7 linked regions of the Sus scrofa genome follow. The protein of the gene in region 6 interacts with the protein of the main gene of each other region in a pairwise test. Links are inferred from orthologs where the notes say so. Each region holds a gene or a part of one and is shown on either strand. Other genes may lie near its edges.

Region 1 (4,341 bases), on a different chromosome or scaffold from region 6:
TCACTTCTCTGATTGGGTCCTGATCCACAAGTTGATCTACTGGGGTGTGTGTGTGTGGGGGGGGGGGGATTCTTTTTACTTCCTATTCCTAGAGTGAGAATCAGTAATTGTGGGGTTTCCAGGAAGACTCCGAATAATCTTCAGATTTGGAAGACTTTGGTTGAAGTTTTCCAAATCTGTTAAATGTGAGAGGGGCAGAGCAAATAATTAATGAATTTCCTTTTCTCACCTGCTCTGTAAGAATTTTCAAAAGGGCACAGGAGCCAATCTGAAAGATTTCCCCATCGTCAAATGTGGAAAAATTTGAGCAGCAAATTAAGTAATGTACTGTTGAATTACAGCTCAAAATATACAAGAAATATATATATAAATCCATACTGATTGAATAGATAGGGATATGGGAGAGAAGGAACACATCTCTACAGAATAATTCCAAATAATGTAGATACGCCTCCCCCCAGGAGATGGACTTTCCTTCTCCCCACCCTCTCTTGAAATATGGGCTAAACTTAGTCATCCAAAGATGGAAAGAGAAAAATAGTAGCTCTGCCTTGGAAAAACCAGGGAGACACTACTTTAACCAAGTAACAAGGATTGCTGTCATGCAGCACCTAGTAGGATGTGGTCTTCCTCCCCCAAACCCCAAACCACAGCCTTATCATGGGAAAACATCAGACAAGACCAAATGAGGTTGGTTTGGTGTACACACGCTACTAAATATGAAATAGGTAAGTAACAAGGATCTACTGTAGAGCACAGGGGAATCTACTCAATGTCCTGTGGTGGCCTATTTGGGAAAGGAATCTGAAAAAGGATGGATACAGGTATAGGTATAACTGATTCACTTTGCTGTACACCTGAAACTAACACAACACTGTAAGTCAACTATACTCCAGGAAATTAAAAAATAAAAAAATAAATAAATGATAGATATCCACAAAATAGCTTAGCCGAAGTTTTCAAAACTGACTGAGTTAAGGAAAACAAGAAAAGACTAAGAAACTGTCATAGACAAGAAGAGACTAAAAAGACCTAACACTAAGTGCAGTGTGGAAACCTGAATGAGATCCTGGAACAGAATGGTATTAGGGGGAAAACCAGTGAAATCTAAAAAAAAGTCGAGTTTATTTAATAGAAAGGGATCAGTGTTACCTTCTTAGTTTTGACCAGCCTACTATGGCGATGTAATACATGAATATTAGGGGACGTCGGCAGGGGGGTTTTGGAGAATTCTATACTCTCTCTGCAACTTTTTTTGTAAATCTAAAATTACTCCGAAATAAAAAAGGCTTATTTATAAGCAACAAAAACAAAAGTTTATTGTTTGTGCAAAGAGAACATTTTAATAAAGCAGCGACTACCCTCTTTACATGACTCAGTTACTGAGAGGTACGCAGTGTTGAGGGATGCAGGGAAGGCACCCCGGAGCGCCTGGGGCCCGGCGTGTGCTTCCGGGGGCGGCAGGAGCCTAGGCTCCTCCCCGGAGCCACCAGGGCGCCGGACTCTGCCCCGGGCGCTCCCTGAGGGGTGGAGCCAGCCAGCCCCACGGAGAAGACTCAGCCCAGGTCCAGAGCCGAGGGGAGGAGCAGCGGCAGAATCCTGCTCTGGCTGAGCGCCCTCCAAGGTAGACGAGCCCCTGCGATCCGCGCACAGGTCACCCCCAGGTGAGTGAATGTCCAGGTGCCCTTGGAGCCGGTTCCCCCAGCGCCGCCCTCACACCAAAGACATTTTCCTGTAAACAGATCCTCGGTTAGGAGGATATTCTCCCTGTAAACCTCTCTTCTGGACTTGAATTCCTTGGGCGAAAAGTTTGTGCTCTTCCAGGAACGGAGCTTACCTTCCTCGAGAGAGAATGCCCCACCCTTAGCCCTGTGCACACCTGATTATTTATTTCGATTGCTGTTATGCCGTCCCTCGGCCAGGGGTTCTCGCGATTCAGAGGCGGTGGAGAAAACATGCTGTCACCTGTGAACCCCCGCGCGGCGACTTTGACAGATCACCGCGCCTGAAATTTTTAAGAGCACAAACGAATGCTTGTGAGTGAAGATGGTTGTCTTACACCTTCATTCATCCGTGCTGGCATCTGTAGCTGCAGGTGTAGCTAAAGGAGAACAGCCTATTGGTTGACAGTGCTATCTATGGTCATGGGATTTTAGAACTGAAAGTTACTCAGCCCCAGGCAGTTGTGCAGAGGAGCAGTGTCAACTTACGGAAAGAATAGCACAGGACGGTGCAAGGGTAGATTTTAGATTGGATGATGACATGGCTGTACATTTTCAACCTTCTTTGAAAGGAAAAAAATTACGTACATAATCAAATATTATTATTTACATATATAAATTATATATGATCATATATATATGCACAGAAGATGCAGTTAGCCCCATACATAAATGAAGCATAACTCAAGCATACATAACTATTTATACTATAGTTGTTTCATTTCAGGAATCAAAACCTTTGTTACTTCCTTTTATATACAGTCTAGATGAAGTGTCCAAAAGGGAATTATTCTGCATTTGCAATAGGGAAAACATAATCTGTCCTTTTGATTTTACCTGTGCTATTAAATATTCAGTTCTGCACAAGTCTGGCTTTTCAGAAATACGATCTGAGCTTTAGTCTCAGATATCCTAGCGGACACAAATGGTGCTGCTGTTTCCTGGGCTGCACTGCCCCTCCCCCTAGCCCTCCCTCTATGCCACTGATTTGAGAGTGGTGGTCCCTGACACAGAGGAATTTGTGCCTAAGGCAGGGCCTTCTCAATTACTTACAGAAAGAATGAAAATGGCTGACACTTCCTGCGACCCAGGAAAACTTAAAGGTTTTTACCTTTGTGATTTGCTGAATATGGTAACTAAAGCTGCACTAACTAAAAAGAGACTCCTGAAATATATACAGATACTATTTCAGTTGTATAATTCATTGTTGTGATTTCATGAATTAATAACAGGGATGCATGTATTTGTTAGCTTTTTGATTTATAATGTGCTGGACAGTGGGCTTGAGCTATAATCTAAAGCCCTGACAAAGCTGAAAAACATAAGCTAGATTTGGCCAAAACTAAAAAATGAGGTGTACATTTATTTGTTTGGAATTATGACTGAAAAAGGAAACAACTGAAGAATTTGGAAGGGACTGTAAAAGTCTTTTGAAGTAGTAGCTTTGAGTCTTTGAAGTGAGATATTTACATCAAAATTAGATGGCCATTTGTTGATAGAAAAAAAAATATAATGGCAAAATGTTACTCTGAATGTAATAGCCTGTTTAAGTGTATTTACATTTTACTGAGCATGGAAACAGCCATCCACTGAGTCTGGAAAACAAAAGCAAGCACGTGCCCGCGTGTGTGTGTGTGTGTGTGTGTGTGTGTGTGTGTGTGTGTGAGAGAGAGAGAGAGAGAGAGAGAATTTAGGGGCCTATTCATATACTCATTGAACCAATACTTGTTGAGTGCCTGCTGTGCAGGGCACCCTGTTCTGTCTTGGGGACACAGAGGGATACAGCTTTGTGCAAATAAGACACATTCTTGTCCCTGTGGAATTTACACCAGTTTGAAATCCTTCAGGGCAACCCTGAGGCCATAGATTAGGGACCACACCTAATCATCCATCTATTTTTAACAGTGACTGATTAGTTTCAAATCACTGACTCTTTTACACTGACTTAAATAGATTTTAAAAGGAATTTGCGTCTTAGGTCAGTTTCCTCTTTTGCTTAGGCTGGGGAAGAATTTAGGAATATTGTAGTCTGTTAATGCTATGCAGTATTTTGATATTAAACTTGAAATAGTTTAATATCAATTTCATGGGAATTAAATAAAAACTAAACTTGGAGTAGTAGATGCCAGTAATTTAGGGGGAAAAAAAATCAATGAGTGAAAAATTTCAAATTGAGAAAACTGTATCCAAGTTTTTTTTTTTCCTGTAAGTTAAAAAATATGACTACAGTCATATTTTACCTCAGAGCAGAAGAATGACTTTATGCAAGGCATTTTTCCCTTTTTTTATTCTTTTGCTGTTTTCTCAAAAGCAGGTTTATTGGAAGTATAATATACATACCAGAAAATCCAGGTGTCCAATTCAATGATTTTTAGTAACATTTATGGAATTGGGCAACCATCATCACAGTACAATTCTAGAACATTTTCATCCCCCCTTAACCACCCATCTTAAGGGGCTGTTTGCAGTCACTCCCCATCCTCAGACCCAGCCCCAGGCAACCACCAGTCTACTTTCTGACTCTTTAGATTTGCCTTTCCTGTACACTTTATACAATGCAATCATACAGAAGAGTGTTTAGCATCTAGCTTCTTTCACCTAGAATAATGTTTTTGACGTG
Region 2 (4,343 bases), about 12 Mb from region 6:
GTATAGGTCGCAGACTGGCTCAGATCTCCTGGATCTCAAGTTCCCATGGCTGATGTGTAGGCCAACAGCTGCAGCTCCAATTCGACACCCAGCCTGGGAATTTCCATGTGCCACAGGAGTGGACCTGAAAAATAAAAAATAAAAAAGGTCAGTGCAGTGGGTATTTACTGGCTGCATCATTTTATCACATTTTAACTCTGTGCCTTAAATGGGCACTTCTGAGCTGGGGGGAAAAAAAAGCTGTGTGAGATGCTTGCTGGCCCCAGGGGGCCTGTTCTGACCTCTGCATTTGCTTTCTTTGAAGGTGCATATTTGTCTGGGGCAAATGTCAAGTCAATGAGGATCAGAGATGTAAGAAAGAAGATCATTGTATTATTTACCGCAAGGAACTGCTGCTGATGGTGGAGGAAGGAGGCAAATGGAGATTTTCAAGAAATATTTGCTAATTGTTAACCACATTTTTCTGCTGTTCTTATAAAGGAATTAATATCGGCCTCCTTTTCCTGCCAATCTTGCTAACACGGCTGGAAGTGTTATGTAGCTTCCCTATTCCAAAGACTTTGCATTATTTTACCAGGAGATGGAAAATGAAAGGCACTTATGCTGTTTTCCCTAAAGGAAAAGGACTATAATAATGGAGAGGTTTTAAATATTTCTATCGCCAAACGCTTACAATTCAAAAAGAATGAGGTGTCGCCAAGGATTTCCCAGCGGAAACAGCTCTCCACTAACACAGAGACTGTGTTCCCGCCATCCCGGTCGCGGCCGGGAGGAGAGCATCACTCTCAAAGCCTAGGGCTGGCGTGGCCACCCTTCTTTTCCTGTAACTCAGCAACGTCAGGGTTAACCTTTGCCCGGTAAAAAGAGACGATGCCCTGTGAATTTTTATGGGCAGTAAGCATCTCACCTTTCATCGCCCCCTTGGGGGTGGGGGAGGGTATATTGTGTGTTCTTTGGACGGATGGATGTAAAAGCCGCGCCTAGCCTGGCTCGTCCCTGGATCTAATCCTCAGGCAAGGGTGAGGATGCCAAAGGCTCAGGTCCCAGCACCCAGCGAGGACCAGGGCGCCAAGACCCCGCTTCCACTTCTCATCTCCCCTCCCCCGACCCCTGGGCGACGCGCGCTCCAGGCGGAGAGCTGAGCCGGGCAGGGGGCGCGAGGCCAAGCTGGGAGCGCGCAGAGCTGGCCGCGGGGTCCGGGCTGGGAGGCGAGGGGCACGGGCAGAGAAAAGAGCCCGGGTGCGGGAGCCCCGATGACGCATCCGTGACGTCGGCGGCGGCAGGCGGGATTTCCCGGCCCTTCCCGGGCGCCCTGCGAGACCCTGCTACGGAGGGGGCGCGACCGACGTGGACGCGAGGGGTCGGGGGTCGGGGGACACGCGTTCTGCCCCCGCTGCACATGGACGCGCGCCTGGAGCACGCACAGGGGGCTGAGCAGACAAAGTACTTGGCGTCTGGGTGACTGCACTCTCCCGCGGGGCACCTGCTTGGGACCGGCGCCCCCGCTCGGCCTCACGTGGTCTTTCCCCGCCTGGCCCGCGAGGCGCGGGACGGGGCGGGGCTGGTGACGCGGCGCGGAGACCCCGGGGGCGGGGAGGGCCGGTGCGGGGCGCGCGTTTCCTCCGCGAGCCCGTCAGTGTCGAGGCGCGGAGCCGGAGCCCCCTCAGCCCCGCGCCCGGAAGCGGAGCGAGGCCGATCGGTCTGGCAGCCCCTCGCGTGCACCACGCCGGAGACAAAGCCAGCGCGTGAGCGGCGCCCTCGGTCCGCGCTCCCGGGTAGGGTAAGTGGGCTCCCCGCCGGAGGGCTGGCCGACAGGGGCGTGTCGGGTGGGCTATGACACAGCCCTTGCTCCAGCGAGCTCGAGCCCAGCTAGAGACGAAAGGGAAACTCGGGCGGGAAAGTCTCTGGAACTGGAGAGACGGTTCTGGTGCCTGGGTCGTCCTACAGCTGTCAGTGGAAGCTCGCAAATACCTGTGGTTATGCTGGCGGCCCGCAGCTAGCCCGGCCTTCTGGGCGTCCGCACAGGTGGGCGTCGGCGGCCCAGCGCTGGCCGGTGCAGGAGCTCCTCGAACCCGGGACACTCCGCCGAGCCGTAGGGAAACCCGAGCGCAGGTTTGGACCGGCAACTCGGAACGTTTAAGGGGCCTCCTAGGGGTCAGAGCCGCCCGATCTCTCCGGCTTGAGGCGAGGGAGATTCCTGGGGACCCCCTTTCCCTAGATAGGTCATGGCTGTTCGCTAGTCTCACGGCAGGGACGTCCCCCGCTAAAGAGGACCGTAATGGAACGAATGGAGTGGCTAGTTGGTCATTTTATTTGGGGAAATGTTTTTGGCCTGAAGAAGCCCTCTTAATTCTCCAGCACCCGGGACACCTGCCTCGGGAGCGGTCCCGGGGGCCACAGTGGAAGACGGGGCACGGGTTTGTTTCCCTTCTTTTATGGCGTCTGTCCCCGAGTCTGGTGCTGAAATGAGCTGCGATCGCAGCGCGGGCGCCCAATGGCATTGCGGGAGCTTTGGTTTGATTTTTTTTAATTACCTTGGAAATAATAAGAAGAGGGTTAGAGGCTGGAAGGTGGATAGAGGTATGACTGGAAAAAACTTCTTAATATAAAAATAAAGAGAACTTGCTTATTTTTGTGTCTCTTGGGCCAGTTATTAGGAAATCCAAAAATATTAAACTTTGATCAAGTGATAAAAGGGATCATGGACACGGTTCTCCTACCCTCTTCCCAGCTCCAGTTTTCTTTTTCTGCTGCCTCCCAGGACTGCAAAGGGCTACTACAGGGCCTTTTTTCAGTCAGAGCAGAAGGCCTGCTGGGCCGGGCTGGTGTTCCCCCTTAAAGCGTGTCAGTCTTGTCATCTGCTGAGTCCTTACTGTGGTGCTTCCTTCTCAGGGTGTGACAGGCACAGTCAGTGGCAAATGCCTCAAAGAGGCAGGGAGGGGACCCAGGCTTTTGACCAGCTTCTTGATTCTTTGGGGAACTCCTTTTCCTGATCTTTGCATGGTGCGGGGGGAAGGGAGGCACCTGCCATCTGATCTGGCCCTGTTCCCTGCCAAAGGCTACCTTGGAAAGCCTTCTTCAGTCCTGAGAAACAGGATGGTACAGGTAAACTGTGAATTATTTTTGAAATGTGGGGTTGGCTCAGTTATCAGTCATGGTAAGACCTGGTTGTAGTACTCAGTACATAGTAGGCGTTAATGTAAATACAGAATTTATTTTGGTGCTTTGCCAGGTAGCTCCTCACTATGGGGTTATTAGGCTGAAATGACTATTTAGGACTACGGGATTCATGTTTGCCCCTCCACCCACACATGGCTCCAGTCCTCAGCCTCCTTAAAATAAAATTGCTCAGAGGAAGCCTCAAGATGTTTGGCCGGCTGGGAAAAAAAGCACTGCCAGAGGGTCATTCCCAGGAGCACCGTAATTGTCCAGGCAGTTGCCTTTGAGTTTCTCATGCATATCGACGGTAGGAAAACAAGGAAAAAGCTTTTCCCATAAGCATTTTACAGTTTTTAAAGCCAAAATGGCAGTCCCTGAAGCCCACCCAAATCTCAGTACATTCTTGGAAATGGTGGAATATCAGGTGGAACTTGGATGATGCTGTCCTCTGGTCACGGGGAAGCAAGTGTCTGGCAGCTGTGTCAGGAGGATGGGCTTAGGAGTGACTGTGTATAATGTCACACACACACACACACACACACACACACACACACACACACTCGCTCACCGAACAACTACTGCTTACGGAGGAAGGCAGCCCAAGTGGCTGAGGAGGCTAAAGACCACTGGACAAGTCATTCTCATTTGTTTATTGCCACATGTCACTGTCACATTTTTCTTACCTTGTGTCATTTTTGTTATATTTGAAGAAGGGAAAATGCCCAGTAATGCCATGCAGGTTAGTAGATGGCTCTCTTCATGGAATTTTGAATCAATGTCTTTAAGACATCAAATTACCTGATTTGTTCTCAGAACACCTTTCTGAGCCTGTGCTGTTGTTTAATCTTGCAGATTTTTTCTTGTTTTCATTTGGTATCTTTATTCACTCTACATGTACTCTGGCATCAAGAAGTTTATTTTTTAAATTACTCAGTGAATTTTATTATATTTATAGTTGCACAGTGATCATCACAACCAAATGTTACAGCATTTCCATCCCAAACCCTCAACGCGTTCCCCCACCCCCAACCCGTCTCCTTTGGATACCATAAGTTCTTCAAAGTCTGTGAGTCAGTATCTGTTCTGCAAAGAAATTCATTGTGTCCTTTTTTTGATTCCACATGTAAATGATAGCATTTGATATTGGTGTCATTGTCTGACTTCACTTAGCGTGATAATTTCTG
Region 3 (3,058 bases), on a different chromosome or scaffold from region 6:
GACTGTCTGCCATATACAATCTAGGGAACTTGTGTTAATTAACTAATTGGTTAGTTAGACAAATAAAAAAGTCTTAGGAGGGATTTGGGTGTGGCTGTCAATTTCTGGAACCAGTCAGTTTGTGTGAAAGCGCAGAGGTGGGGTCTACACGAACACACCCGTGAAGGCTACATCAGTCATAAGGGGAATTAGGGTCCTTCCTGGACAAACAAGTAGAAAGACATCATACTAGTCTGTGCTAATAAATACAGCAATCTTTGTGTGATGAGATCCTAATCAAAAAATTAAAATTACATCAAAATTACCCAAGGGAAGTAGAAAAACCAAAATCAATGACCATTCAAGCACCTAACAGTATCATTAGTACATTGTCTTCAAGAAAGTTTCAGTTGTACATGTATTGACTACATTCTGCATTTTTCCTTCATAACCCCCTGGACTTGGCAGTCAGGAAATCTTTTTTTTTTTTTTTTTTTTTTTTTTTTTTTCCCCATAGCAGGCTACGGGTAGAATTGGAGCTACGGCTGCCAGCTGACACTACAGCCACAGCAACACTGGATCCAAGCCCTGTCTGCAACCTACACCATAGTTCATGTCAACATCAGATCCTTAACCTACTGAGCAAGGGCAGGATTGAACCTGCATCCTCATGGATACTAGTCAGATTCCTTTCCGCTGTATCACAATGGGAACTCGCAGTGAATCAATCAATTTTTATTGCTATCTTTCATGATTCTGATATCCCGCATCTTTTTCAGAGTTGACACATTTTCTTGGGTGACCCTGATTGTTCTGTCAGTTTAAATTCTCACACTTGTTATCCAAAACCCAAGCTTATGTGCCAACCTGGGCCTTTCTCTGAAACTCACATCTAACTTGATTCTACATATACCCAATTGAACATTTCCTAAGAAATTCAGCTTCAGCATCTTGGAAGCTTAAGTTTCCATCTTTCCTCTTAAACTTGCTCCTTGTCCAGTGCTCACCCATGTCGCTCCTCCCCCCGGCCCCAGGACCGCCTCCTTAGCCCAAACTGGACGACTGTGGGTCATGAGGCCAGTATTCCACTAGGCCCCCTACCCCTTTGGGACCTCAATACACCCCAGCCCTCCAGGCGCCCCGCCCCTACCGCCAGCCGGCAGGGCCCCCACAGACCACGGATGCGCAGGCGCACTAGCCTGTCCCGCCGCCGCCCCGCCCCGCCCGGCCGCTGCGGAAGGCGCCGCGCGCAGCAACGCGCACTTCCTCTCCAGGAGTCCACCGAGGGAGCGCAGAGTCGAAGAGCTCCTGGACGCAGCGGCCGAGCCCTTGCCAGACGGAGCAAACATGTCCGAACAAAGTAAGGACGTGTGTGACCCCAACTTTGCAGCCGATGCCTCCCACTCCGAGGTGCACAGCAGCCCTGGGGTGGCCGGGGGGCCCTCTCCGCCTGCGTCCCAGGCCGCGACCCTCGCAGGGCCAGAGATCCCTCCTGTAGGCCCACCCGACGCCCCTCTGGCCTCGCCGCCGCCCCAGGCCCTGAGCGAAGAGGGAGACCCAAAGGCTCTACAGCAGGCCGCGGAGGAAGGCCGCGCCCACCAGGCCCGGAGCACAGCCCAGCCCAGCCCAGCGCCGCCGGCCCCGGCCCAGCTGGTGCAGAAGGCACATGAGCTCATGTGGTACGTGCTGGTCAAGGACCAGAAAAGGATGATCATCTGGTTCCCAGACATGGTGAAAGATGTCATCGGCAGTTACAAGAAGTGGTGCAGAAGCATCCTGAGGCGCACCAGCCTCATCCTCGCCCGAGTGTTCGGGCTGCACCTGAGGCTGACCAGCCTGCACACCATGGAGTTCTCGCTGGTCAAAGCTCTGGCGCCTGAGGAGCTGGACAGGGTTGCTCTGAGCAACCGCATGCCTATGACAGGCCTCCTGCTGATGATCCTGAGCCTCATCTACGTAAAGGGTCGCGGTGCCCGTGAGAGTGCTGTGTGGAACGTGCTGCGCATCCTGGGGCTGAGGCCCTGGAAGAAGCACTCCACCTTTGGAGATGTGAGAAAGCTTATCACTGAGGAGTTCGTACAGCAGAACTACCTGAAGTACCAGCGCGTCCCCCACGTCGAGCCCCCTGAGTATGAGTTCTTCTGGGGCTCCCGTGCCAGCCGTGAAATCACCAAGATGCAAATCATGGAGTTCCTGGCCAGGGTCTTTAAGAAAGACCCCCAGGCCTGGCCTTCCCGCTACAGGGAAGCTCTGGAAGAGGCCAGAGCCCTGCGGGAGGCCAACCCCACTGCCCACTGCCCCCGCAACAGTGTCTCCGAGGACTAGCAAGGTCTGGAGGCAGATTGATGGTTTCTGACCCTCACCAGGGTGGTGGAGGGGTGGGGGTGGGACATTAGAGTATTCAGGATTTACAGTGCAGTATTTCACGTGTAACTTTTACGTTTTCAGTACAGTGCTTTTATACCTTTTAATGCAATGTTGTATTCATTTCAGTAATAATTAGGTAGTGTGTAGGATTCATGCATGTTTGTTTATAAGTAAGCTCAGTTGGTGCTTTCGCTTTTGTGCTACCTTTCTTGAATTTTTTGTACCAGAGACGTGCTAAACTTATGAAATACATTGAGACATTTTCCATCTTATTCTTTTACATGGGACTGATGATGTGTATGGGGGTAGACAGGTACTAGAGAGTTTGGACGAACTCACCAGTAAAGCTGGTCTAACCAAGAGAAAAGTCAAGACCTCTCTCTCTGTGATCTTGCTGGGCACAGGAAACATCTGTCTGGAGTGTGGTGATGTGGACTTAAAGGGGCTCAGTATGGACACTTGGCACAGTTTACTAAACACAAAAACAACCCCACCATGAGTAAACTTTAAACATTAAAGATTCTTGTGATACAGTCATTTTTATGGAAAAGTGTACTTTTATCTTTTTAACAAAGTAGTATGGGTTGGGAATGAGATATTTTACACAATGTACAGATATATTTCATCTCATAGGGTGGGGAAATCGTGACTCATATGTGTGAGGTGTATAGTTTTTTTTTTTGCAAAATGTAACTCACATGTTCATTTCAAA
Region 4 (4,589 bases), on a different chromosome or scaffold from region 6:
GTGTGGGCTCCAGGCAGTGACCCTACCTCTAGACTGAGTTCTCTGGTGCCCTGAAGTAAGGTGACCAGATGTGAGAGGCCAGCAGGCTGCACATCTCATGCCAGGTGGTAGCAGCAGACAGGTTAAGGAGCAAGGTTAACTCAGGTATCCTGAATAGGGCAGGGCAGGCAGCCCTAGTGCTTTTCGAGGCTTCATGGAAACACACAACTGCAGGGGTAGGCAGAAGCAGCAATCTCTTTTCTGTATCCCTAAGTTACATTTGTGGGAATTTGAGGGAGGGATGGAGGGAAGAAGCCAAAGGCATTTTTTACTCAGGTTTGTTACCTGAGTAAAAGTGGCATTTACCACCTTGGTCACCTGGCCATGTATATTTTTGGCATGAGCAACAGAGTTACGTGCCAGAGTGCAGGGGATGAGGGGCTCTGGAATTGAAAAGAGATAGGAGGGCAGCACATTGCTCCCTCCACTCTAGACAAGGCAGGGAGAATCTGACCATTTCTGCATCCTTTACACCCTCAGCTGCTTCAGCCTTAATAGACTGAAAGTTAAAATCCAGGGCAGGTGTTCAGAACAGCCATCAAATCACAAGAGGTTCACACGGCAGTCGGCCAATACTTTGAGACACTGAATACATGACATTGTTTAATCAAACAAGATGGGATTGTGTTGCTTTTGTTTTCTCAAATTGTAAGTTGATTCAAAAGTAGAAGAGTGATAGTTCATTTATCTAAAATGGCCAAGATTAGACTACTAGATCATCTTTTTGTGGACTAATTCATAGATCATGTGAAAAATAAGTTTTCAATTTTAAAATAGGTCACTATGCTTTGAAAGCTGCTTTTTGTCTGTAACCAGTGGAAACATTTTCCTTGTGTTATAAATAAATGTAATAAAATCAACAAGGCCTCTTGGGTCTTCCCCTCCCACTTAAATTATTCTCCATTCAATGAAAATAGCATCATTTTATTTTCTCAATACATTCTTTTATTTATTTTTTCTAAAAGGGCCGCACCTGTGGCATATGGACATTCCCAGGCTATGGCTCCAATAGGAGCTGCAGCTGTTGGCCTATGCCACAGGCACAGCAACGCAGGATGCTTAACCTACTGAGCAATGCCAGGGATGGAACCCACATTCTCATAGATACTAGTTGGGTTTGTAACTCGCTGAGCCACAACGGGAACTCCTAATTTTTTATTAATGAACAGAAAAGTTTAAGAAAGTAAGACACTCCCACTACCCATCTCCTTTTCTGAGATCTTGAATCCCATTTCGTATAGGGGTGCAGGGGAAATGCTGGACCTTCGTGCTGGGTTGGGGGCAGGGGTGGATGGGCAGGGAATAGAGGAGAGAAATTTTATTCCTCAAAAGAGGAAGACAAGACTAATGACATAGGTGCAGATACGGAAAGACAAATTCCAACCACAAGAGAAATACTTCTGGTCTCTGGGATGGTTAGAGGAAAATGAGTGGCAGGTTCTGCTGTGGAGAGGAAGGAAAAAGGGGCGGGGGGGGTCTCCTGCCGCACTGCTGGTGGGAGTGGTGATTTGGGGTCCTGAGCTCACGAGTGACGTGGCCCTCACGTGAGCTGGAGCCGACGCATGCAGACGTCCTACTAATCCCGGTCTCCGTTTGGTCCGGTTGCCATCTCCCTATTACCTCGAGGGCGCGCGGGCCTGCGGCCAGGAGAAGAGAAGGAGGAGGGAACTGCTCTGATCTCCGCAGGTCTGTTCGTGGATGGGCGCTTGCCTGGGGGATCCCTGCGGTGCGGGAGCGGAGGGCGGAGACTGCAGAGGGACAAGGCCCGCTTTCTCCACACCCTTGCACTATCCCGGGCCCTTCCAAGAACAAAAATGAAGATTTGGGGGCCAGAATCCAGGGGAGACCCCAGCCAGGAGGAGGGGAAACTTGAAACCTTTGGCATCCAGGGCCTGGAATCGGGAAGGGCCGATGTTAAGATTCTTGTCCTGTGTGTTGGTCCATCTAGCAAGCCAGAATCGTGGGGCTGTGCGTCTGTCTTGTCATTCCCCGTGTCTTTCAGTAGGGCGCTGTACCACTCGGAGCAAAGGAATAAAGAATCTGCCCCAGGTCCGCGTAAAGGTGGGATTGCCCCGCGGCCCCCAGAAGGGCGGGGATGCCTGAGGTCCTCGCCTTAACTTGGGCGCATTACTGACTCTCCAGCCACCTCCCTGCTCTTTTATGTAGGAAATAGGACATGACAGCGCGTACAGGAAAAATGGTTGTCGTTTGGCGCCAGGAGCGGGTAGGGGAGGGGGAATCAAAGGGATCTTTAGGTTTTCTTTCGCTCCTTGGGTTTTCCTCACTCACTCGCACCGCCTCTCCTCTTTCCAGTTGTTGGAAAGGGGTGTGGTTTTTGCTGGGAAAATGGCCGACCCGCTGGGGCTGGGGCTGGGGCTGGGGCTGGGGGCGGGGGGGGGGGAGGGGTGGGTGGATGCCCTTGCAGGAAAAGGGCTGCGGTCAGCGGAGTCCGGGGAAGTGGGGGTAGGGTGGGAGACCAAAAGTTGAAATCCGTTTGACAACCAGGACCTTAAATTCCGAAAAGCTGGTATTGGGACTGTCTGAAGTGCTGTTCTGTCCGCCTAGCCATCCGTCTCTGCTGTGTCGCCTGTCTGTGTCTGTGGGATCTTGCGCCTGACAGCCAACCCAACCCTAGGAGCGGGAAGAAGAGGAAAATTGTCCAGAAACAAGTAGGTCAGAGTGAGGGTGGTGGCACTATTTAGGGATCCCTGGGGTGGAGAATGGTGGAGACTGCAAACTCCAGTGGGCCCATGGACCTCCCCCACAGCCTCTTCCTTTCCTCCTCTCTGAACCAATTGCGGAGCTTGCAAAAGAAAGTGCTCTGCAGGGGAAAAAAGTTGCTGAGAAGACAACGGTGTCACAAGATTTCTGGGGTAGATGTGGAGAAAACCTTCCTCCAAATTACTCCAAGCACTAACTAGGTCCCAGAGTTGTCAGTCCTTAGATTTGGTGGAAGAAACAGAGATAAGGGAGGAAGGAAATTTCTCCAGAGCAGTGGATATAATGGATGAGGGTAGGAGTGTCCTGGTACCTCTGAGATGGTGGCGGTGTCGGAAGCAAGGGAGGAGGACAAGACCTTTGGACATTTTCTGCCTGTCTGGCTACTAGACAGACACCCTTGCTCCACTACCATCCATTTCATTACAGAGAAGGAGTTGTGGTGTCACCTTTGAAGGAAGTGATTTGTGGGGGTAGGGGTGGGGTGGAAGATTGGGGGAAATGGAAGAAACGGGGTGGGAGGCAGGTCATAATAAACTACAGAGCCAGGGCTCTATAAAGAGGACCAGAACCAAAGGTGGGAGGAATTGGGCTAGGCAGGGCTAAGGCTAGTGGTTCTGGAGAGGGACACGTGTCCCATCCTTGGTGTAGTCCATTTTCTGTCCCCTGAGCATTCAGCACTACCCTCCCCACCCCTTTGTATGCAGGTTTGCAGGACGCAGTGCTCGTCCAAGCAAGATGTAGAAGGAAGACATTGCCTGGACCTGTATGGGTGTATGTGGGGGTACTACTGTCCTCAGGAACATCTGGAGGGGGAGGGGAGGTAGGGAACTGATTAGATATCTTAACTTTAACATATCAAGGTGTGGTGGTTGAATATGAGGTTGGAGAATCTGGAGGTGGGGAGAGTTTTCAAAATTGCCTTCCCTGTTGAAGACAGGAATCAGTGATCTAGCCCTGAGACCCTGCCATGTCCCCCATTTGTTTGGTCTGTTTGTCCATCTGGAGGTTCAGTCTGCATAGAAAGGCACAAAAGGAGGAGACTGAAGCCTCAAATATTTCTTTCATTCCTAGGTCCTGCAGTATCTGCAGCTGCAGCAGAGACTGCCAGCTGTAGCTGAGGACTCCACCCCCTACGTGGGAGCACTTCTTTGGGCCAGAGAAAGCCCTTCAGACACTCACCCTAGCATGGGCCGCACTCGGGAAGCTGGCTGCGTAGCTGCTGGTGTGGTGATTGGGGCTGGTGCCTGCTACTGCGTCTATAAACTGACCTGGGGAAGAGATGAGAGTGAGAAAATCTGGGAGGACGACGATGATGATGAGGAGGAGGAACCTAGTGATATGGCAGAAACTGGGAAAGGATCTAAGGCTAATTCTGGGGCGGGGGCTGGAGCTAGACTTCAGGGTGACTCAAAGGCCAAAGCTGAGGTGGCCGTGGAACTCAAGAGTGGATCCGATATAAAGGCAGAGGCCCACTCGAAGGCCCAGAGTGGAGGTGGCCTAGAGGCCAAGGCCAAGGCCCTTTTCAGCACCTTGAAGGAACAGGCAAGTGCAAAGGTGGGCAAAGGGGCCAGGTTGGGTACCATCTCTGGGACCAGGACCCTTGCACCTGGTTTACCCTGTCCAGGAGTGAGGGGTGGAGGCTGCCACCCAGCGAGGAATGGAGCTAGGGTTGGGGGCAGGGCCAGTGGCAAGTCTAAAGGAAGGACCCGAGGTAAGAGCACAAGGACTCCAGCTACGTCATGGCCTGTTCGAAGGGGCAAGTTCAACTTTCCCTATAAAATTGATGATATTCTGGGTGCTCCTGACCTTCAAAAGGTCCTTAACATCCT
Region 5 (4,414 bases), on a different chromosome or scaffold from region 6:
TTTTTTCCAAAGACCTAGGTTTTTGAAAATACCTGCCTTTAGGTTTTGAGCTTGTCTGTGGTTCTAACATTTATTTGTTCATTCATTCAGCAAATGTTAACCAAACGTCTTTGAGGAGCTTAAATGAGAAAATTCTGTGGGCTGGTGACAGAGGTGACAAAGTTTCGGGGGGCAGCATGCTCTTCCAGATACATAATCCTGGAAAGAGCAAGCAGGCCTGTGGACATACTAGATTCATAAAATGTATATAGTTTTGAGGCTGAAAGATACCCTGCTGGTCACTTAGTTCTCCAGCTGAAGAAAGACCCAGGGCTATTAAGTGACTCCCTTTGTTTTTGTTGTTTGGTTGTTGTTTTTGGTTTCCTTTGTCTTTTTTAGGGCTACACCCACAGCATATGGAAGTTCCCAGGCTAGGGGTGGAATCCAAGCTGCAGCAATTGGTCTACAGCACAGCCACAGCAACTAGGGATCCAACAAGTCTGCGACCTACACCACAGCTCATGGCAACTCCCAATCCTTAAGCGAGGCCACAGATTGAACCCTCATCCTCTTGGATCCTAGTCAGGTTCCTTACCGCTGAGCCACAAAAGGAACTCCCTTAAATGACTCCCTTTAGATCATACCTTTTACAAACTCTACCTGTGGAAGAGACTTTCAACCAAATGCTCTTGGAATGTAATCTTTTCTTTCATCATAAGTTTTCATATTTGAACTTCTGGAAATAGTAGCCAGCCACTAACTCAACATCAGAAAAAAAAGAGGCTTTGGTTTAAACGAATAATAGCTAGTCTCCAGCATAAATGTGATGAAAGGAGATATTTGAAAGTACTAACTGCATATATTTTCTAGAGGCAAAATTGGCAAAGGCCATGGGCAGAGAGTGGAGGGGATCTTCAAACATCATAAACCCAACGATCCCATCCCAAACTTCCAATTCCATCTAACAAGATAAAGCCTCTTTCGCTGCAGTCAAAATTATTCCAGTTATGGTAATAATGACTTCCTTTTATACCGATTCAGTTGACAGATTATTCAGTTGACAGAAATCTCTGAACCCCTAGTCTGTTCGTGTTCGCGAATATATTAATCTGACTGATTCAGAAAACAAACTCACGGATGTACTCGGGGAAAGAGTGCTAAGCAAACATCAGTTTATTTCAAAGCCTCTAGAAATTCCGAATCCCGAGGTCCACCGCGAGGTTTCAGAGAGCAACTCACGGCTGTTACCTTTTGGAAATTAAACTCTTGCAGAGGCGCACCTTTTATTCTACATTCGTCCTTCCACAGAAAGCGCTCAATTGAGAAAGACACTGAACTAAATGAGTGGGCTTGGGAGGCGGAGAGCCGAACGCCATCAGCCGTGGCGAGTCACCTGCGCAGCGCAAAGCGGGGGCGACGCGGGGCGACGCGCGGGCACACGCAGGGGGACGGGCGGCCGCGGAGGGCGGGAGGCCGGCGGCGGCGCGCCCGCTCCCCACGGCCGGGCGGGCAGAAGCCCCCAGTCCTCGGCCCCCGCGCAAGCGACGCCGGGAAATGCCCACATCCGGGAAACCTGCAGCGGAGTGCGGCGGCGGCGACACCGAGTGGAAGGCAAAATGGCGGCGGCGGCGGCGGCCTGGTGCTGAGGGGAGAGCCAGGTCCCCGCGACCTCCGCGACGGGCCGCGCTGGCCCGCGGCAGCCCCCCGGCGTCTCTGCCCGCCCTGCCCCACCGGGGACACTTGGGGTCCCTGGGACGGGCTCCGGCCGCCTCGACGCCCGCCCTCGGGCCCGTGGCCGCTGTCCAGGAGCCCCGCTCTCTGCAGGTAGGTCCGGGGCTGGCGTAGCGGGTGGGGCTCACTCTCTCCTCCGGAGCCCGCGTTGGCGGGGCGGTGGCCGTCGGGGCCCACGCCCATCCCCGCTGGCGGGAGTCCAGGGGCCGCTGCGGACGGGCGGGCCGGGCCGGCCCGGTACGGGCCCGATTTGGCTGGTTGCATGGACCTGAGCGGAGCCCTGCCCTGGGGAAGCGAGGGTTGGCCGCGCCCGGGGCTGGAGGAAGAGCCCCAGGCTTTGCGGCCTTGGAGGTTCAGGTTAGCCCGGGAAGATCCTGTCTCACTGGAGGCCTTGCGCGGACTGTTTTCGCTCACACCTCCCTCCACCCTTGTCTCCAACCCTCACCGGTCAGCGGTGTTCAGGAAGGAACGGATAGCGAAAGGTGATTGTGAAGGAAATGTGCAGTGAAGGAGCCACAGTTCTTTCATTCCAGAAGGACCTGCTCCTGGATATACCTTGAAGAAATTCTGAGAATTTCTATTTACAGTCCACTGTAAATAGGTTGCTGTTCATAGTTGGAAGGGATAGGAGAGATGGAGGGAGTATGTCTGTAAATTCAGAAAATGAAGGAAAGGAAGTTCAGGGGACATTGTTTATTGTAACTTCAAAAAGACTTTGTGCCACAAAGAATGACTCTCAGGTGAAGTGATTTAACCCCATTCTTTCCAGTTGGAAGCTATTTTCTTCTTCAGTTTAAAGTTCTTTTCTAAGGGAACAAAAATTAATGTCTGTTGACCCATATGTTAATACGACTCAAAATATTACATCGTTATCTAGAAGTTAATTCATAAATCTAGTGAGAACTATAATCTCGCACACAGTATTGTATCACTCCAATTTTGGAAATGGACTTGAACCATGAAGGGTGTCAGGTCTTATGGATTGTTATTGAGGACTAAGAATTTTTTGTCAGATTTCCACCATATAGAAGAAAAAGTCGGATATTATAATTGTAATGAATGTGCTCTGCTAAGGTATCTATGTTCGTGATTTAACTACGTTTATTTTTTTCCTTTAATTAGTTGACACACGGGTAAAATGAGCTAGTTGATTCCCTAAGGCAGTGGAGGAATTTGATTTAACAGTGAAAGAAGTAGCATTGTGTTCCTCTGATCGGCTGTTACTGCAAGAAACTAGATCATGATACAGGCTAGAAAAGGCGCATTTTTTCCTGTGCCTGAGTATTTAATAAATATGGTGACAGCCTTCAAAAGCAAATAAAAATATTTCTGCTAGATATATTTGGCATGATATGGCACATGTGGATTTCTTTCTTTAGGTTGAGTTTTTGTTTTTGTTTTTAATGCTCCTCCTTGTTACTCTACATAGTGTAGCCTTAGAACAGTTCCAGCTCTGGTTATTTAGTTTTTGCTCTAGATGTGATATTTAGATTAGTGGTGGATTTTTGTAGACTATGAAAGTTATTTAGTCATTGAACAACATTTTTATCAAGTAGAAATGGCAGTCATTTTTCAAATGATGATAAAATATAATGATTGTTCTCACTTTTGATAGGTTAACTCTTAGAAAGTGAATTGGAGAAAATGTCATCAGAATGCAGAGATTCTTACATATTACCATATGGACAGCTAAGACTATACTGCTAAGACAGTACTGTTGCTTTTCTCATAACTGATTTAGTCAAAGCTTTAAGATACCATCTTTTTTACAAGCCTAGTTCAACCTAAGGTATCAATTTGAAATCTTCTTATGTAATGGGCTCTGTTCTTTTCCTAAGTTGGGTAAGATATCAGCAGTATTTGTTTGTACTTATTGACATTTGTACATCTGATGAAGGTCCGAACTTTCTAAGAAATGGAGGTTTTGTCTGTTCAGTCTAACCAAGTTATCCCTTCAAAGAATGTGAGTCATGATCCCTTAGGAAAACTAAGATGTAGGTATGATAAAAAAGAGCCTTGGGGAGTTCCTGTTGTGGCTCAGTGGTTAATGAATCCGACTAGGAACCATGAGGTTTCGGGTTTGATCCCTGGCCTTGTTCAGTGGGTTAAGGATCCGTGTTGCCATGAGCTGTGGTGTAGATTGCAGACGCGGCTCTGATCATGAGTTGCTGTGGCTCTGGTGTAGGTCAGTGGCTACAGCTCCGATTGGACCCCTAGCTTGGGAACCTCCATATGCTGCAGAAGCAGCCCAAGAAATGGCAAAAAGACCAAAAAAAATGACATGGAAAAAAGAGCCTTGGGCTGTTTCAGGATATGTGGAGTCCATTCCTAGCATGACCTCCAGCTGGCTGTATGATTTTAATGGGGCCACTTTACCTCTCTGGATCCATTTACTCTGGATCAATTCAAATTATAATTTAAAATAAAATACACACACACACACACACACACACATCCAATATCCAAGATACCTCTGCTTTGTCAGTCTGTGCTTAGTGGGAAAAATAAGACAAGTACAAGAATAGGGCAAAAACAAGTTTTATTTGCCTGTGTAAAGTGCATTTGAAGTTCAGAGGAGGATAGCAGCTGGCACTTCAATGAAAGCTTCATGAAGGAAGCATTTGAATGGCACCATAAATGCTGGGTATAATTTCTACAAGAAGGAATATGGCAGAGGGTCTCCTAAGAAGAGTAAGAACATGAA
Region 6 (3,424 bases):
TTTGTATGTTTCATGTTATTTTAAAATTAAAAAAAAAAAAAGCTATTACAGAGCAACATGCAATACATTTTAGAAAATTAGGAAATACAGAGGCGAAACTATTAAAAATATTTTCCTTCCCGTAAATGACCAATGATATACATCCTTCCAGATCTTTTTGTCTAAATATGCATGTTTTTTACCCAAATGACATTTTAATGGTATATGGTGTCTTATTGCCTGTTTTGGTCCGTATAGCTTGTGCTTTCCATGGCAACATATTTTCATCAACTTAATTGTCCATACTCAAATTTTAGCAGTTGTCCTACAAAGTCTCTTCCATCTGGTTTGTCCTGAGGGACCTAGTCCAGAACCGCCCGTTGCATCTGATTGTTCCATCCTTCTGACGTCATGCAGCCCAGGCCTCACTTTGATGAACACTGCCCTTCTCCAGGTCTGCTGAATGGCCTAGTTTCTATGCTTTCCCACCAGCACCTCGCCTTCCTTGGGCTTAGGTGTGTGTCTAGTAGGGCAGCAGTGCTAAGTGTTAATAACCTGCATCCCCTCTGCCGCCTTCTCCAAGGTCATAGACATGACGGGCCGGGAGCAGAAGGTCTACTATAGCTACAGCCAGATCAGCCACAAGCACAATGTCCCAGATGACGGGCTCCCACTGCAGTCACAGCTGCCCCAGCCCGGCAAGGAGGCCAAGGCCCCCGGCTTTGCGCTGCCAGAGCTGGAGCACAACCTGCAACTGCTCATTGAGCTCACGGAGCAGGAGATCATCCAGAACGACCGGCAGCTGCAGTACGAGCGTGATATGGTGGTCAACCTGTCCCACGAGCTAGAGAAGATGGCAGAGGTGCTGGAGCACGAAGAGCGGGTCATCTCCAACCTAAGCAAGGTCCTGGAGATGGTGGAGGAGTGCGAGCGGCGCCTGCAGCCCGGCTGCAGCAACCCCCTCACCCTGGACGAGTGTGCCCGCATCTTTGAGACCCTGCAGGACAAGTACTACGAGGAGTACAGGATGTCCGACCGTGTGGATCTGGCTGTGGCCATCGTCTACCCGCTGATGAAGGACTACTTCAAGGAGTGGGACCCCCTCAAGGTGACTGGGCGGGAGGCTCATGTGCTGCCTCTTGTCTGGGGCAGTTCTGGGCTTTGAGAGGAGGTCTGGAGGGTGAGGGCCCAGCCCCAGCCTGCTACCTCAGCTGCCGTTTTCTCCTCAGGACTGTACTTACGGCACGGAGATCATCTCCAAGTGGAAAAGCCTCCTGGAGAATGACCAGCTCTTGTCCCACGGTGGGCAGGACCTCTCGGCAGACGCCTTTCACAGGTACTCCTGGTGGGGCTGGCACCGCTCTGGGAATTGACATTCATTCGCTAGTTCACCTGAGGCTTGTTGCGTGGCTATTGGGGATGTGCCTCTCACGTCTCCAGGAGGTGGGGAAGGCAGGTGCTAAGTAAACAAGTGGACAGATAAGTGGGCTGCAGGCTGGGAAGAATGACAAGGATGCCCACCTGGGATGGGTGGGGGGTGTTGGGGGCAGAGGTCTCTCAGGAGGTGACGTTCAAGCTATAATCCAAAGGGTGGGTGGCATCGGCTGTGCAGGGAGAGCTCTAGGTGGGGAAGCACATGATGACACTTGGAGGGGACCCTGCGACCCAGCAGCAATCCTGCCAGGGAGGCAGGCACCAAGGAGACAGGCCCCAAGGCCAAGTGGGTGCTCAGCACGGAAGATGCAAGCTCACGTCTGGCTGATATGTGGGCTGGCCTCTCGGTTTCCTGTGCTGGGTTGCCGTGCTCTTGCCATTTTCAATTCTCATTTTCAGGGTTGGTGGCAATGTTCATTGCATACGTGGCAACCAATCTGTGCATTTAACCATCCTTTCTTGCACAGGCTGATATGGGAAGTCTGGATGCCTTTCGTTCGAAATATCGTCACTCAGTGGCAACCAAGGAACTGTGACCCAATGGTGGACTTTCTGGATAGCTGGGTGCACATTATTCCCGTGTGGATCTTGGATAACATACTGGACCAGCTCGTCTTCCCCAAGCTGCAGAAGGAGGTAGGGCCAGTCGTGGGAAAGAGCTGTCGTCAGGAAGCATGGGGTCTTGTTTAGGATTTCTCTTCATTCTCTCACTGCTGTTAAGATGCCTGGAATTAACAGAACTTGTCAACATAGTTATTGCTCTGTAATGCTAACTCTAGTTCTTTGCCCCAAAGCCCCCCTTAATAGGTTTCCTTAATAAACTTAGAATTGTGCCATTTCTGAGATAATACATGTATGGGCATATGTGTGAGTCACTGTCCCTGTTTAGGGGAAATGTCATGGAGTCTGGGGCCCCCTTGCATGCACAAAGGACTGTGGACCTCAGCCAGCAGAGCACGGGGCTTCGTGTGACTGCCCACAGGCCACCATAACTGCTGCTTGCTCCCCACTCCTCCTGCAGGTGGAAAACTGGAACCCACTGACGGACACGGTTCCCATCCACTCCTGGATCCACCCGTGGCTGCCCCTCATGCAGGCGCGCCTGGAGCCGCTGTATTCCCCCATCCGCAGCAAGCTGGCCAGTGCCCTGCAGAAGTGGCACCCCAGCGACTCCTCTGCCAAGCTCATCCTCCAGCCCTGGAAAGACGTCTTCACCCCGGGCTCCTGGGAAGCATTCATGGTCAAGAACATAGTGCCCAAGCTGGGTAAGGAAAAGGGGGAAACACACCCAAGTACAGCAGCTTTGCTGTCCTGGTTTCTGAGGCCAGCAGTAATGATTATGGTTCTTAAAACATGGCCTTTGAATTCTGTGCAAAGGCTTATTATTATTAGCACATGATATTTCTCACCATGAAAGAGGTGCCATTTTGGGCACTAGGGCTGAATATTACTAACCAGGGTCCCTCTTGCAGTGACAAAGTCAGTGATTAGTCCAGAATGGGCTTTCGTGACAGTATAGCCACAGGTGATCTGAAACTTTTGTTGTATTGGATTCCAAATACGGAGCTATTTCTGGGAGTTCCCTTGTGGCTCAGCAGGTTACAGGTCCAGTGTTGTCACTACTGTGGCTCTGGTCACAGCTGTGTTGCAGGTTCGATCCCTGGCCTGGGAACTTTCATGTGCTGTGGGTGCAGCCAAAAAAAAAAAGTAAACATAGAGCTATTTCTGGATTAGAGAAGAAAGCAAGTTTTAAGAAGTGTTGTGTCAAGAGCTTAAAATTGACCTTTGAAAGCAGATCAAAGGCTGACACTGGTGACCTTGTGCTTCTGAGGCTTTGCCTTAGAGACTGGGTTTCTCTTCCAGGGATGTGCCTTGGGGAGCTGGTCATCAACCCCCACCAGCAGCACATGGATGCCTTTTATTGGGTCATCGACTGGGAAGGGATGATCTCTGTCTCCAGCCTGGTGGGGCTTCTTGAAAAGCACTTCTTCCCCAAGTGGCTTCAGGTACG
Region 7 (4,109 bases), on a different chromosome or scaffold from region 6:
AACTACAGATTCTTGGGGAACATTGCTAGGACTTACAGCAATTCTTTTCCAATTTAATTTGGAGGGGTTGCAGTGAAGGTAAGGGTGAAGGGAGTAACAGCGGAAGCCATTCAAAGCAAAGCCCACCTTTAAAGAGGATCAAGTCATCTTTGGCCAGAAGTTGCCTTGTGACACAGCAGGTTAAGGACCTGGCATTGCTACAGCTGTAGCATAGGCCACCAGATCCCTGGCCTGGGAACTTCCACAAGACCAGGGAAAAAAAACAAAACCATCTTTGGCTTTACAGATGATTTTCTTCTTGATGGAGGGGCAGCCACAAAGACCAGCTGTGCTCATGTGAAGGAATGCTCCACCAGATCCTTTGGAAAATATAACCTGCACAGTACGAGTGGGAATACCTGGGATTTCAACCCTTCCCAATTTACCTCAAATTTACCTCAATGGGCCAGGAGAGGCCCTCAATACTGATTCTGTATATTCTCACCAAGAATTAAACTTACTAAAACTTACTTGATCCCATATGTCAGACCTCTGCAAGGCAGAGAATCCAAAGATGAATAGAGCAAAATTTCTGTTGTGAAAGAATTTTCTACCCAATAGGGAAAAAGATGCTGCATGCAGCCAGTCTGTAACAGGGCTACACCGACAGCAGGAACTAGTTCCTAGGAGCCCATCCATACAAGGCAGCGTTTACAGAAACTTGCACACCTCAGCTTGCGGGGCAATGGGGGCGGCTACAGAAGACATTTTCAGCTTTTAGGAGTTCTCTTGTGGTGCAGCAGGTTAAGGACCGAGCAGTACTACTGCAGCAGCCTGGGTCGCTCCTTTGGCATGGGTTCCATCCCTGGCCGGGGAACTTCCACATGCTGTAGACCCGGGCCAAAACCAAAAAACAGGCCAAAAAGTTTTCAGTTTTAAACAAGAGAACTCGCCCCAGTACGTTCTGGAGCTGGAGCTCCATTTCCCGTCACCAACTCCGCTTCCTGCTTCCCTCCCTTAACTTCTTAATTAACAGCCTCCCAATGCAACCACCCCTTTACCTTACCCCATATCATCAAGGGCCTGGCTCCCAGGAAGGGCCCACAATTTGACCGTCCCTTCCCCTGCCACCCCAGCCTCGCCTCAGGCCTGAACCTCATCACCTCAAAACCACCGTAACAAGAAGCTGACGTTAGGACTGCGGGGAGCTCCTGCTCAAGTTCTCCTAGGCTGGGTTACAAGTTCGCAGTGGCTCACAAACGGCCAGGTGAACCAGCACCACAACTAGCCTACTCCTAAATTTGGACCTTTTGGGATCCAGCAAGTATCTTGAGCGACGCAGGCTTAATGTTTTCCGTCAGCAGGCTCCACGTTTACTCGGCACAACTATCGGCTCCAGCGTGGTTTTCCATTGACCTGCGGGGCACTGAGTCCCACGGAAGTAAAACGAGTTGCACCAAATCCGAGCGTTACTAAAGGGCAAAGCCCCCAGAAGCCTGCAATTGAAACCGTGACCGCCTCCATGCCCTCGGGGCTGCAAGGCGGGGCAGTGAGGCACAGGTGCGCAAGCGCAGGCCTTGCCCCAACGCCCCCCCCGCCGCCCCGAGGAGTCACGTGAGGGGGGCGGTCTAGGGGCCGGAGGAAGCGGAAGGCGGACTCTGCGCAGAAAGCAGCCCTCCCCCGGAAGTCCCTGCACCTCAGGAGCCTGTTACCGGAAGTGCTGGTATTTGTAGCGGGCGTGATGGCTTCAAGGTTACTCCGTGGAGCTGGAGCGCTAGCCGCGCAGACCTTGAGGGCCCGAGGTCCCAATGGAGTCGCCGTTGTGCGGTCTATGGCATCTGGAGGTACTAGGCCCCCCCGGCGCGCCAGGGACCCGTGCCATTGCTCTCTCGGGGTGGTGGGGGCAGCGGGGCGGGGGACAGCCTTCAGTACCTCGCGGCCGCAGTGGCTGCCCCTTGGCCCCGAAGGCCTCAGGCTCCACAGGCGTCTCCCTGTTACCCTGGGCCGCCGTTGCTGCCGACCACCAGACTGACCCCGCTGCCAAAGAATCCTTAACTGAAATGCTAGATGACCTTGATGGGCAGGGATTGCAGCCAGGACATGGGGGGTGGGGCTAAGCCCCTCCTTAGACCCGCGCGTATCTCAAGTTGGATGTATTCCACTAGGACTCTGATTAACCTGCTTTTAGGAAAAAAATGTGTCGAAAAACGGCCTCCGTGGCCGAAGGAAGTGAAGATCACCCCATGTTGCCACTTTCGGGTATCATGACTCCGGTCTTTAGGGGACAATAAGCCCACTAAAACTATATGCAGCAGTTTGCGTATGTGCATTTTCCATCGTGATCATTTCAGACGACATGGTAATTACCATATTTTCTTCAGGTGGTGTTCCTACTGATGAGGAGCAGGCGACTGGGCTGGAGAGGGAGGTCATGATGGCCGCCCGCAAGGGACTGGTGAGGAGAAACTTTATATGTCTTCTTAGGAGTTTATGGTTTTGGATGGGATCAGAGTAGTCTCCTCTCTGGGCCTCACTGATCCTGGAAACCTGGCATGTGGGAACAATACCGCTAACCCCTAGAAGGTAGGAGTCATTTGGCATAATGGATTCTTATTTTGTCTTTTCAGGACCCATACAATATACTTGCCCCAAAGGCAGCCTCAGGTACCAAGGAAGACCCTAATTTAGTCCCCTCCATCACCAACAAGCGGATAGTGGGCTGCATCTGTAAGTACCTCAACACTATTTTCTTACCCATTTAATATAGCCCACTATACAGGTCTGTAAGCTCTTTCATATCTTGTGCTTTGTGTGTGTATAAATAAGTTGTTATAAGGGTCTTGGCCCTCTCATACCCCTCTGCTTGAGTAGGTGATCCTTACGGGAGAGAGGCCTGGAACATAAATAATATTGGTTCATTGAGAGTTCTTGTTGCGGCTTAGTGGGTTATGAACAAGACACTAATATCCATGAGGATGTGGGTTTGATCCCTGGCCTCGCTCAGTGGGTTAAGGATCTGGTGTTGGGGCTGTGGCATAGGCCAGCAGCTGCAGCTCTGATTTGACCCCTGGCCTGGGAACTTCTATATGCTGTTTTTATTAGGTGCAGCCCTAATAAAAAAAAAAAAAATAGCAAAAAAGAAAAAAATACTGCCTTATTGGAAAGGCAGTATGAGGAAGGAGTATTCATCTAGAAAGTGTTTATTGTATTTCTCCTTTGCTAGACACCCTGTTAGGCAGTGTCAGCCATAATTTTGTGTCTCAGAGGTGTCTGAAGAGAAGAGATTAATGTTGAAAGTCCCCTCTTCTAGGCTGGATAGCTTTCAACCACCTATGTTCTTTCAGGTGAAGAAGACAACAGTACTGTCATCTGGTTCTGGGTGCACAAAGGCGAGACCCAGCGATGCCCCAGCTGTGGAACCCATTATAAGCTGGTGTCGCACCAGCTGGCCCACTGAGCCCCTGCACTAACACACTCAAGATGCGCTGGCAAGTTTCTTCCAATAAAGACTAGCCATTACACTGGCTCCTCCTCCCATGGCTGGCTGGTCTTCTTTCTTTCCTGTATTTCTAGAAGGGTATGGGTAATTCTTATATCAGAGGTAGTTGTCTATTCGTATTAGCTTGCCATCCACTGTGTACACTGAGATTACCAATCCCTAATGCAGTGATAGGAACCACCTGGCAAGGGGCAAACCGGCTGTGGAAGCAGGCTGGCTGGACTTGTAGAACTGGCTCCACTCCATCATTTAGCTTTATCACTGGGGACATGTTCTCTGGGATGGATCACATTAAAAAAAAGAAAGAAAAAAAGAAAGGATAAGTATCTTGTAAGGTTGTAGGAGTATATAAAGAGCCTGGCAGATAGGTCCTTATGCTGTTCTAAAGACAGAGTGGCCTTGTGAGGAGAGTTTTGGCTTTGAAGTCTTAAGGGACCCAGGTTTAAAGCATAGTTCATGAGGATGCCATCAGCAAAATCTAGAATATGGGACAGTTCTAGAAACCAGCAACCAGTTTCTTCAAATAAACTATAGGGAGAAAAAAAAGGGGAGTACTTAGCAAGTGAAATGGACATGAGGAAGATACCAATCAAAAGCAATGTGTGGACTGTTTGAATCTTGATTTGAAAAA

What was found.
Region 1: the proteins of TFIP11 (region 6) and CCDC68 interact in binary tests that used the Homo sapiens proteins (3 or more experiments, as listed by UniProt). The two-hybrid records come from large-scale screens. The link is inferred for Sus scrofa from reciprocal best matches to the Homo sapiens genes TFIP11 and CCDC68.
Region 2: the proteins of TFIP11 (region 6) and GNG4 interact in a two-hybrid assay, tested with the Homo sapiens proteins (2 studies listed by BioGRID and IntAct). The two-hybrid records come from large-scale screens. The link is inferred for Sus scrofa from reciprocal best matches to the Homo sapiens genes TFIP11 and GNG4.
Region 3: the proteins of TFIP11 (region 6) and NDN interact in a two-hybrid assay, tested with the Homo sapiens proteins (2 studies listed by BioGRID and IntAct). The link is inferred for Sus scrofa from reciprocal best matches to the Homo sapiens genes TFIP11 and NDN.
Region 4: the proteins of TFIP11 (region 6) and ARMCX1 interact in binary tests that used the Homo sapiens proteins (3 or more experiments, as listed by UniProt). The two-hybrid records come from large-scale screens. The link is inferred for Sus scrofa from reciprocal best matches to the Homo sapiens genes TFIP11 and ARMCX1.
Region 5: the proteins of TFIP11 (region 6) and LATS1 interact in a two-hybrid assay, tested with the Homo sapiens proteins (2 studies listed by BioGRID and IntAct). The two-hybrid records come from large-scale screens. The link is inferred for Sus scrofa from reciprocal best matches to the Homo sapiens genes TFIP11 and LATS1.
Region 7: the proteins of TFIP11 (region 6) and COX5B interact in binary tests that used the Homo sapiens proteins (3 or more experiments, as listed by UniProt). The two-hybrid records come from large-scale screens. The link is inferred for Sus scrofa from reciprocal best matches to the Homo sapiens genes TFIP11 and COX5B.

What each region holds. Positions count from the first base shown.
Region 1 is NC_010443.5:104,471,754-104,476,094, reverse strand, and holds the start of CCDC68 (coiled-coil domain-containing protein 68), read left to right. Parts: upstream 1-1,513; 5' UTR 1,514-1,664; intron 1,665-4,341. UniProt on the Homo sapiens protein: Centriolar protein required for centriole subdistal appendage assembly and microtubule anchoring in interphase cells. Together with CCDC120, cooperate with subdistal appendage components ODF2, NIN and CEP170 for hierarchical subdistal appendage assembly.
Region 2 is NC_010456.5:55,651,471-55,655,813, forward strand, and holds the start of GNG4 (guanine nucleotide-binding protein G(I)/G(S)/G(O) subunit gamma-4), read left to right. Parts: upstream 1-1,272; 5' UTR 1,273-1,775; exon of another isoform or gene 1,776-1,780; intron 1,781-4,343. UniProt on the Homo sapiens protein: Guanine nucleotide-binding proteins (G proteins) are involved as a modulator or transducer in various transmembrane signaling systems.
Region 3 is NC_010443.5:142,411,362-142,414,419, forward strand, and holds NDN (necdin), read left to right. Parts: upstream 1-1,326; coding exon 1,327-2,304; downstream 2,305-3,058. UniProt on the Homo sapiens protein: Growth suppressor that facilitates the entry of the cell into cell cycle arrest.
Region 4 is NC_010461.5:83,131,211-83,135,799, forward strand, and holds the start of ARMCX1 (armadillo repeat-containing X-linked protein 1), read left to right. Parts: upstream 1-1,564; 5' UTR 1,565-1,853; coding exon 1,854-2,100; exon of another isoform or gene 2,101-2,205; coding exon of another isoform or gene 2,206-2,263; intron 2,264-2,544; exon of another isoform or gene 2,545-2,604; coding exon 2,605-2,708; exon of another isoform or gene 2,709-2,712; intron 2,713-3,464; exon of another isoform or gene 3,465-3,525; coding exon of another isoform or gene 3,526-3,531; exon of another isoform or gene 3,532-3,580; intron 3,581-3,831; coding exon 3,832-4,589. UniProt on the Homo sapiens protein: Regulates mitochondrial transport during axon regeneration. Increases the proportion of motile mitochondria by recruiting stationary mitochondria into the motile pool. Enhances mitochondria movement and neurite growth in both adult axons and embryonic neurons.
Region 5 is NC_010443.5:16,273,387-16,277,800, forward strand, and holds the start of LATS1 (serine/threonine-protein kinase LATS1), read left to right. Parts: upstream 1-1,568; 5' UTR 1,569-1,803; intron 1,804-4,414. UniProt on the Homo sapiens protein: Negative regulator of YAP1 in the Hippo signaling pathway that plays a pivotal role in organ size control and tumor suppression by restricting proliferation and promoting apoptosis.
Region 6 is NC_010456.5:44,099,318-44,102,741, reverse strand, and holds part of TFIP11 (tuftelin-interacting protein 11), read left to right. Parts: intron 1-562; coding exon 563-1,087; intron 1,088-1,208; coding exon 1,209-1,315; intron 1,316-1,880; coding exon 1,881-2,049; intron 2,050-2,434; coding exon 2,435-2,678; intron 2,679-3,276; coding exon 3,277-3,419; intron 3,420-3,424. UniProt on the Homo sapiens protein: Involved in pre-mRNA splicing, specifically in spliceosome disassembly during late-stage splicing events. Intron turnover seems to proceed through reactions in two lariat-intron associated complexes termed Intron Large (IL) and Intron Small (IS).
Region 7 is NC_010445.4:56,629,704-56,633,812, reverse strand, and holds COX5B (cytochrome c oxidase subunit 5B, mitochondrial precursor), read left to right. Parts: upstream 1-1,705; 5' UTR 1,706-1,720; coding exon 1,721-1,823; intron 1,824-2,360; coding exon 2,361-2,434; intron 2,435-2,606; coding exon 2,607-2,706; intron 2,707-3,323; coding exon 3,324-3,436; 3' UTR 3,437-3,516; downstream 3,517-4,109. UniProt on the Homo sapiens protein: Component of the cytochrome c oxidase, the last enzyme in the mitochondrial electron transport chain which drives oxidative phosphorylation.